Schizosaccharomyces pombe: one gene and its partner. The protein of the gene in region 1 interacts with the protein of each later gene in a pairwise test. Each region holds a gene or a part of one and is shown in the gene's direction. Other genes may lie near its edges.

Region 1 (3,712 bases):
GAAATATTATAAATAGCGTTACAACTGAACCTCGTTCCTCAGTTCAGTTATGAGCTATATTAGTGATAGGTAACATTATAACCCAGTTAATACAATACCTATACTCAGTTGCTACTTATACAACCTGTGTATTGTAATATAATAGACCACAAGGAAAACTCACCGCAGTTCTACGTATCCTTAAATCAGATACCAAACTGCGTAGCTTACATAACCTAGGCTTGATCTTATCGTTATATTAAATGCTTTTTATTACCTCAAAAATCTACTTCAACAGTTTGATTTCAAGCTAAAATGGTAAATTTTAATGCATAAAATATACCCATTGAGTAATCTATTTGCTCTTTTTTTTATACCGCTCGTCCGCTGATGAAAACGTCAACATAGCAATGCTTGTATCAAGTGAAGATGGATGGTGTGAAATCACTTGTTATAACAGAGGAGTAATTGAGTATTGCTTTTTTGATCACCACTGTTTGATACACCCTTGCCTGCTAAACAATTCAATGTGAGTTTGTAAATTGCAGTTTTATTTATGATCATCGACCAAGCCCTAACATACATTTGTTACTCGATTTAATTTAATTAATTTAATATTTCAACAAGGAACTATGAATTTGGAGACTTTGTCGCCCAGGTATTTTATTATATGTAAACACAAATTAAGCAGGTCGCACGTATAAGTCTACCGTATGTTATAAACAAAGATAATAAATTTTAATAAGATGACAAATAATTTCAGGGACTTTCAACATACGAATATCAATTGTCTACTTTTCATGTTGACAAAACTTTGACCTCTTATAAAGCAAGGTCCCAATAAATTAGGTCTCCACCACCATCAACAACTTGCATTCGTGATTTAAAATGGAAAGGAAATCCCAAGTTTCAGATACAAATAATAACTCTATACCTACGTAAGTTTATTAATTATTAGTTTATTTCTTTACGCCGGACTGCGAATTGGTTTTAAGAAATTCCATACAACCTTCCACAACAGTCTATAATCTTAGGTCTCTTATATTGTTTATTCCTTTTATATTCTTAACTAAATATGTTGGAAATGAAAACTTACTAACTTTCGTAATAGTAATGTTCTGCTTAAGTTTGTGGGTTTTAGTGTCGCATTATTTACATTACCACTTATAACTTATTTTTGGACGTTGAAGACTTTATTCAAAGGTATATACTAATTGTTGAATAATTTTGATTTTTACTGATAAATTTTGTTTTAGGATATCAAACATTGTACGCAGGATTATCTGCAGCTGTAATGGTCAATATTATCTTGGCCTTGTATATAGTCGCAGCCTTTCGCGAAGACTCCGGGACTCCCAAGAAGGATATAAAAAGGGAATAATAAATTTTCAGTAACCATTTTACTACTATTTTGAGTTATGACTTTTGCATTTCAATTCTAAATCAAATTTTGAAGCGGATTTTCCTTCTGCCAACGTATTTAGGTGAATCATTCGATGTCTTTATTTTTTTTCGTTAAAAGTATCGCAAAATGAAAGACTTTAGCTGGGACTATCCTATAATCTACTGGATTTTGCATGTATGTCTATTGAATAAGGTGCTACCACAAAGCTGTTGCTGGTGATACTACTCCTTTTTGTATCTGAATTAATGAACGGAAATTTTTTTGTTTAATTTTTCGCTAGTCTGTAATGAAAATATGTGTCTGTTCTTTAGTTTTTTGTAGTTTCCCAAAAAACACGAATTAGCAAAATGCAATTGATATGGCAATTTCAACCAATTTTATAATTAAATTTTCCTTTTTATAATATAAGGCTAACATGTATGATTCTTATCAAACATAACAGCTGTAGGAATTCAGTATTCTTCTAACACTTATGCATCACTATTTTCTCTCACCCCAAACCCCTCGTATATTGGAAAGTTGTTCAAGTGAGCATTATTGATTTTTTCCCAATATAATATTGATAAAAATATATATCTGTAAAAAAGTTTGGTGTTAATTATTTATTTTATTCTGTTTTCTGCTGATTCAAAGACTTCGAACATGTCGACTGCCAGTGAACAAGCTCGACTTAGACGTGAACGTCGACTGAATAAAATCAAACAAGGAGGTGCATCTAGAATCAATCAAATTTTGGGACAGAATTCAGATGACAGTCAATCCGATGTTCGAGCTACAGCTTCCGAGGAAGCTGTACATTCTGAAACTGCAACACCAGTAACGCCAATGTCTTCAGGATTCATGGAAAAGAGAGATGATACCTTCAATGCTGATCAAGTGGAATATCTTCCTTCCCAAGATTACCATAATTTGGAAAGTTCGCCTTTTAAACTTCAGTGTGATTCTCCATATAATGTACCACCTGAAAACATGTTTAATCAAAACCCTGATTTTGCAAATTTTTTTCAAGCTATGTTACAATCCGCAAAGGAGGGATCTGATACAAATTTTCAAGGTGAAAACGAACAAATTCCTCAAGCTACAGCTCCTTTAAAAAACTTAGTTGAGAAATATGCTCATCTTTTGGCAATTTCTATAGTAGTGATTGTTTGTTATTTTAAACATTTGGTAAGTCCTCATCTTCCTTTTTTGAAATTGTTTTTTTGCATACTAATATATTTATTTCAGCCATTACTTCCGTGGACATTTACTGTCGAAGCTTGCTTGTTCTCTATTCAATTTGTTTTGGACCGTAATAATGGACCTTCTTATTCTCTTCTAGCATCTCTGGCCTCTCAGCTTCCCCCTCCCTATGGAGCAATGATCCGTCATACAACAAGTTATGTTCCGTATTTCACACAATTGATTACAGATGCGTGTATGACAATATTTGCGTTAGGTTTATGTTGCTATTTTTATCCGTCGTTGGTGTATTAATAGTTGTTAATTTTCAGCATTTACTATTTATGAATCTTGGTTTTGCTTCGCAAATTGGTGATCGATTAATTAGCATTCAATTTTTGTTTAGATGAAATAAACTAACTGATTAAGCGAGAAAGACTTTTCAAACCCTTAGGAATTCAATTTTATATTATCTTTTCAACATCTAAACGATTTATATTCTAAAACATACTGCACTTCATTTGAACTGCTTTGCAACACATGCCATATTTACGATTGTCGGTACGTTTTATTTATTTTCTCTTTTAATTCAATGGTAGCAATAGTATATGATTTAAAAAGCTCTGTTTATTGTAATTGTAGTATTAATTAAAAACAGACTACTTAAAGTAATTTCTGGGATAGCTGTGAAAACATTATAACTATGATTTTTAAAATCTTTTATCAACTTATTATTGAAATAAAATAAGTAATTGAGAATTGGCTTGGTTGACTGTATATATGTAAAACAACTTCGTCCGAAGCGCTACAACAGCATGCAAACGTTGAAACGGCGAATTCTTGTTATAGAGAAATTTTTCATATAAAACCATACGTACATATTTTGCTATTTAAGTTCCAGATTGCTTAAAAGAAAATTGAAGTGGTAGCACCATTTTTATAAATATATGCAATGGAAATGAAAAGGCGCGTTCGCGCGGTGCGTCGAGACCAAATTCAAAAAAGATGGCGTCCATTAGAGGATAAGCAGCGCCAAGAAATAATAATTATTTTTAGGACGTGTTCAAGGTAAGTAATTGAGAATCATGTTATTGCTAAAAGTGCTTGTGCTTTTTAGCGCTTACTTGTGTACTGAAAGGGAAATCAAAGTTTGCTGTTGATGTTTAC
Region 2 (5,050 bases), on another chromosome or scaffold:
TCTAGGGGTAATAGCATTATCATCGACAGAAGAATCAACGGAAAATTTTGGAGGTTGTTGCGAATGTAAGTTACCTGCTTCTAAAGTCGAAGGTGCAATGCTGCTGACAGTTGAAGAAGGATAGGAAAAGAATCCTTTCGGCTGCTTTTGAATATCAGGAAACGAACGGATGATGCTTTGCTGAGCGTGAGGGAGGGATTTATTGGAGACGTCGTCATCCTCTTGTTCTAAAATTTTTGATTCATTAATGGAAGGGACAATGTTGGATGAAAGATTCAAGGCGGTTGTTGAAGCAGGAGGAGAATTATTAGGAAAAAGAGGGGTTTCATTATCAGAACTACGATTGAAAAGTTCCGGATTAAAACGCTGCAAAATGGGCAGGACTAAGGAGGAGGAAGTAAGCAAAAAGACAAAAAAAAGCAAAGATAAAAAAAAGCCTTACCATTTCTTTGCTTGAAAATCTGTTCCAATGTGCTAGGAACACCTAATTGATAACAGGCAACCAAGGCAAGCAAAACGAAAAACTGAATTTGCCGTAAGGGTTGATTGCTTGATGATTCAATCAAGGTAAAGAACTCTTTCATTACATCTTGAGGAACATGAAATATATCAGAATAACTTTCTTCTTCTGGAAATAAGAGAACATTGTTTGCTTGAAACACGTCCCAATAATTTCGATATTGCAAAGGAATGGATGAATTACCTATAGACAAAAAAAAGAAAAAGAAAAAGGTTAGCATCATTACAGTAAGTAAGTAAAAAAGCAAGAAAGATGAAAAAAAAAAAAATCAAGCTAAAGAAACAAATCAATGATAGAATGCATCGATCCGTAAAATTAACTATTAATTGAGAAGGAAAAAACAGAAGAACAAAACTTTTACTAACCAATTGCTGTTTTATAATTTAAAGGCTTCACTGGTGAACCCCAATTACTGCTAGATGCCCATGGATCAGGCTCTAAAAATACATTATCGCCCATAAATGGAAACCCCGATGTTCTCTATCTTTTCGATGATCACTTCGTACAAAAGAGAAAGAAAACAAAGAAGATTTAATAAAATTTGAAAGCTAAGAGAGGTCCAATTGAAAATGTACAAATAATGCTGCTAGCAAAGAATTCTAAGCTGACAAACGAATTTTTCAAATCTTCACGAAAGTAAATGAATTTTCTTGTCTCTTGCACCAGTTAAAAATAAAATGATACGAGAAATAACTAAACTAGCGTACAGAGGTTTCAAAATATGTAAATGGCAGAAACCAGGTTTTACACGCTCAAACACATATACATATGGACAGTGTTAATTTCGCCAAAAAACCTTTGACGTCACATCGCTCGCTTCTCATAAAGTAACATGCTAACCAACTGTTTTGACTGAGTAGTAGCTATATAGAAAATGTAAATAGAAGACGTTTTCGAAAGAGTTGGCTAAATTGAAAGAAAAAGAAGTAATTTCTGTATTTATTGCACATTCTTGGATGAAAAAATCTGACCTTTTCTATGCATTTCTTTTTTTACGATCAAAACCTTGTATTTTTTAAAAAGTACAATATATACGACGTTGATTGACTAAAACGATTCAAGGATCAAAATATAAGTTAAGTAATCAACCAATCTTATTTGGAGTCTATGAAAGATTCTTGGGCGATCGTTGTTTGACCCGCAATTATAAATGCTGGCGTTCTAAATTACTGCAAATTCGCTTGAAGTTCTCAGAGGAATCGATCGATCTATAAAACAAATACGAATAGTTTCTACTTCACTAAAAATAATTTTTTTTTTTTTTTTTTTTAATTTGCGATTTCATTTGAATTATCACTTAAGTATGCACAGTACGACCAAGTTGTGGCCTTACTTTTCTAGCTGCTCTTAAATCAAGCATAAACATGATTTCTTCTAACATCTTTTTATCTATTTTCAAGTTTTATTTTAATCCGTCTTTTTCTGTGTACTTCTTTTTGGTCTCTCAAACCACTTGCTCAACAGCCCTACTGCCAAACCCTTGGATAGACCTTGCACGAAACCCAACTCACAACACTTAAGAAATGCGGTGAATTCGTGAACTGTTATGAAATGCACGCAGCTTTATGATAAATTCTAACAAAAAAATTCAAAACTGAATCCCATTCCCACTAGAATTGTGGTTCGTTTCCTGTATAATTATAATTGCCAGTTCCCTTTCCAAAATGCTAAATGAACGCGATTTTGACTTGATTTTCGATTCATATGACTTTAAACATGAAGGAAAAGTATGAAAAAAATTGATTGCTTATGCAGGTAGATCTTGTTTATTGAGTCAGAGACAAACTCTCAAGACTCTGGTTTTTCTCGCTTTACCCAATTACCAATAGGATAAACTATTAACAAAAAATTTTCTTAGGTTCATCTTTCCAACTTTTTGCCAATCATCAATGACCTACAACTCTTACATCCCGCTTCTGCACCACCTCTTTTGAGCGAATTCCAAAAACAATGTACACTCGAATTCGTACGGCAAAATGCAGATCTCTCTATTACAAAGGATAATTTTCGAGACGTATATAAAAAACTTACTGAAAACGAAGATGACTCTTTTGCGAATCAAGCTGAAAAGCCTTCGATGGAGCAACAGAATTCCAAAAATTCTATCAAAGAGGATGCAAATGAACACTCTGTCAATTCTGCACATTCAAAATCATCTTCTAATGCCTCTCCTGAATCCTTAAACCCTTCTCAAATGATGTCTAAGAGACTGTCCTTGCCGCCGATGTCTCAATTTACCGACAGTGATTTTGTCAATATTCTTCGAACTCCATTTGCCCAATCTACACCACTAAATAGGTAAGAATTTTTTTTTTAGAAAAGTCATTAAAATTCTAACAAGAAGAAATACGTCGTCCAGAAATACTGAGATGCCACTTGTTAGGAAGGATAAACCTGATTTTTCCAACGGGCACCATGATCTAATCAAGCAAATCACAGAACTCCAGGATATGTTAGATAAAGCTCGAGATCAAGCTAGAAAGAAATCTCGTACTGTAGATATTTTAGAAGGAAAAGTGAATGAACTTACCCACCAACTAAATATGGCAGATTCCAAATATAATGAATCTAAGGTAGCCAATAATTCGCAAAATAACCAAATTAAGACTCTTAAGGCTCAAAATCTAAACATTCACAAAAACTTTCAGAAAATTCAGTCAGAACTCATACAGACAAACTCTGGCCTCTACTCCACAAAAAAAGAGCTTTCAGCCTTGCAAGTTCGGTATGCCACTCTCTTGCGTAAGTTTACAGATCAGACTAAGAAAATTGAGGAATTAAGCTTGGCTGCATCTCGGTCAAGTGAAAATGAGAATACTATTCGTCGGCTTGCTTTAGAGAACCATGAATTAAAAAATTCTAATAATCAGCTAAACAACCACATAGATGATCTTACTAGAGAAAAACATTTAATTGCTTTGTCTAATAACCCAAAAGGAGATGAATTTTTATCACCCTCTAACCTTGACGAAATGGTTTACTCCAAAGAGGTTGGCCTTTCTTTCACTCAACCATCAGTTTGCATTTCTATTCCTGCGGTTGGAATGCGGGAAAGTGAAGAATTAAGAGAATTGGAATTTAAATGTAAACAACAAAAGAAAACGATAGAAGAATGCAAACACATAAGTCAATCATTGCAAAGCTCTCTTACTGCTGAAAGTTCGCGAAACAAAGAATTGGTTGCTGGATTTTTGATGCTTTCAGAGGAAATTGGTATCCAAAAATGGATTATTCAAAGCCTTTCCAAAATGTCTCCAACCCTAAACGACTTTTGTCGTCGGTACGATTCCTCTATGCCAACATATGAAGAATCAAGCCACGAATGCACAGTTCTTTCGAGCTTTAGTGACGATGAAACAGGACTCATGGCAACTAATACAACAATGAATAACTCCTCTAAAGATTTTATGGCGTCTCAAGATACTGTTAATGCAGACAACCCCCATTTTCTAGCAACGAAAGGACAACCTTTGCTTCTTTTATCGGTTATGAAATCCAACATTTTGCGACTTTTTTACGTCCTTTTTCTTTTTGCCTGTTTTTACGGACTTGATTACATATTGTGCGCCGAGCTATTGCAAGCTTTTTTGCGTGTTGTATTTACATTTTGCGAACATATAATTATACTCCTTTATGGACGGTATGAACTGGTACAGCCTTCTTGATAATTAGGCGACTAATAAATAATGACGAAAATGAAGATGCTAGCGAAAGATTTTTTTTTTCTAAAAAAAAAATCAGTGCTGATTTAAATTGCTTTACCCTTTTTCAACTTTTTGTACATAAAGGTGCAGCTGAATAATGGGTCTAACGGATAAAGCAATAATGGAACTTTCTAATTTAATAATAATGTATTTTTATGGTTGTGACGATTATGATTTTAGATGCAAGTGAAGATGTGAGAAGATTCAACGTCTTGTTGCTTTTGTTTCAGATGTGGAAGAGACAATAAGATAGGTAATTATCGTTGAGGTTATCCCCGTAAACCAAAATAAAGATGTGAAAACGAGAAATGCGGAAACCTTATGCGTATACATGAACCAGCTAGTAAGGACAAGTTAGTTTGTGAAAAAGTATAACAGGTAAAGAAATTGAGTAAAGTAAAAAAAATGAAGAAGGTAAATCAAAAAGTAAAACTTACCGCATGCCGTGCAATTTTGATGCAAAAGCTAGAGTCGCTTCGTAAAATTCAATATCTTTAGAATAAATTTTGACAATAGCTTGAGCTGGAGTATTTTTGACAGAAAATCTAACGGAAAGTGTTGTAATTGAATTAAAACTTTTAGCAAATGTTTCAGATTCGAACAAACGGACATTGACAATATCTGTTTCTTCCAAAATCCCCATGAAGTAAAGAGGTGAACATACAATTAGCTTAAGGTATTCGTGAATAGGAGACCTATGAGGAAGCAAGACTGTTCGTTTAACCTGCTTCAGAGATCTTTGATTTCTATCTTGAAAATCGACAGAAACCATAAAATTGCCCATAGCACTATTTCGAGGAGAATGCGGCATTTTGATTTGAAGCAA

The links.
Region 2: the proteins of get2 (region 1) and kms1 interact in binary tests that used the Schizosaccharomyces pombe proteins (3 or more experiments, as listed by UniProt).

What each region holds. Positions count from the first base shown.
Region 1 is NC_003421.2:187,233-190,944, forward strand, and holds get2 (GET complex subunit Get2), read left to right. Parts: upstream 1-1,881; 5' UTR 1,882-2,026; coding exon 2,027-2,551; intron 2,552-2,611; coding exon 2,612-2,860; 3' UTR 2,861-3,169; downstream 3,170-3,712. Other genes in the region: vacuolar H+-ATPase assembly protein Vma21, read left to right, coding at 868-917, 1,091-1,182, 1,236-1,360; kinetochore protein fta7, read left to right, coding at 3,498-3,613.
Region 2 is NC_003424.3:3,460,881-3,465,930, forward strand, and holds kms1 (protein Kms1), read left to right. Parts: upstream 1-2,017; 5' UTR 2,018-2,184; coding exon 2,185-2,247; exon of another isoform or gene 2,248-2,378; coding exon 2,379-2,818; exon of another isoform or gene 2,819-2,864; coding exon 2,865-4,185; 3' UTR 4,186-4,428; downstream 4,429-5,050. Other genes in the region: sei1 (seipin), read right to left, coding at 4,429-4,564, 4,662-5,050. UniProt on the Schizosaccharomyces pombe protein: Has a role in karyogamy, recombination and segregation during meiosis. Although it has been shown to associate with the spindle pole body it is unlikely to be involved in its formation or maintenance.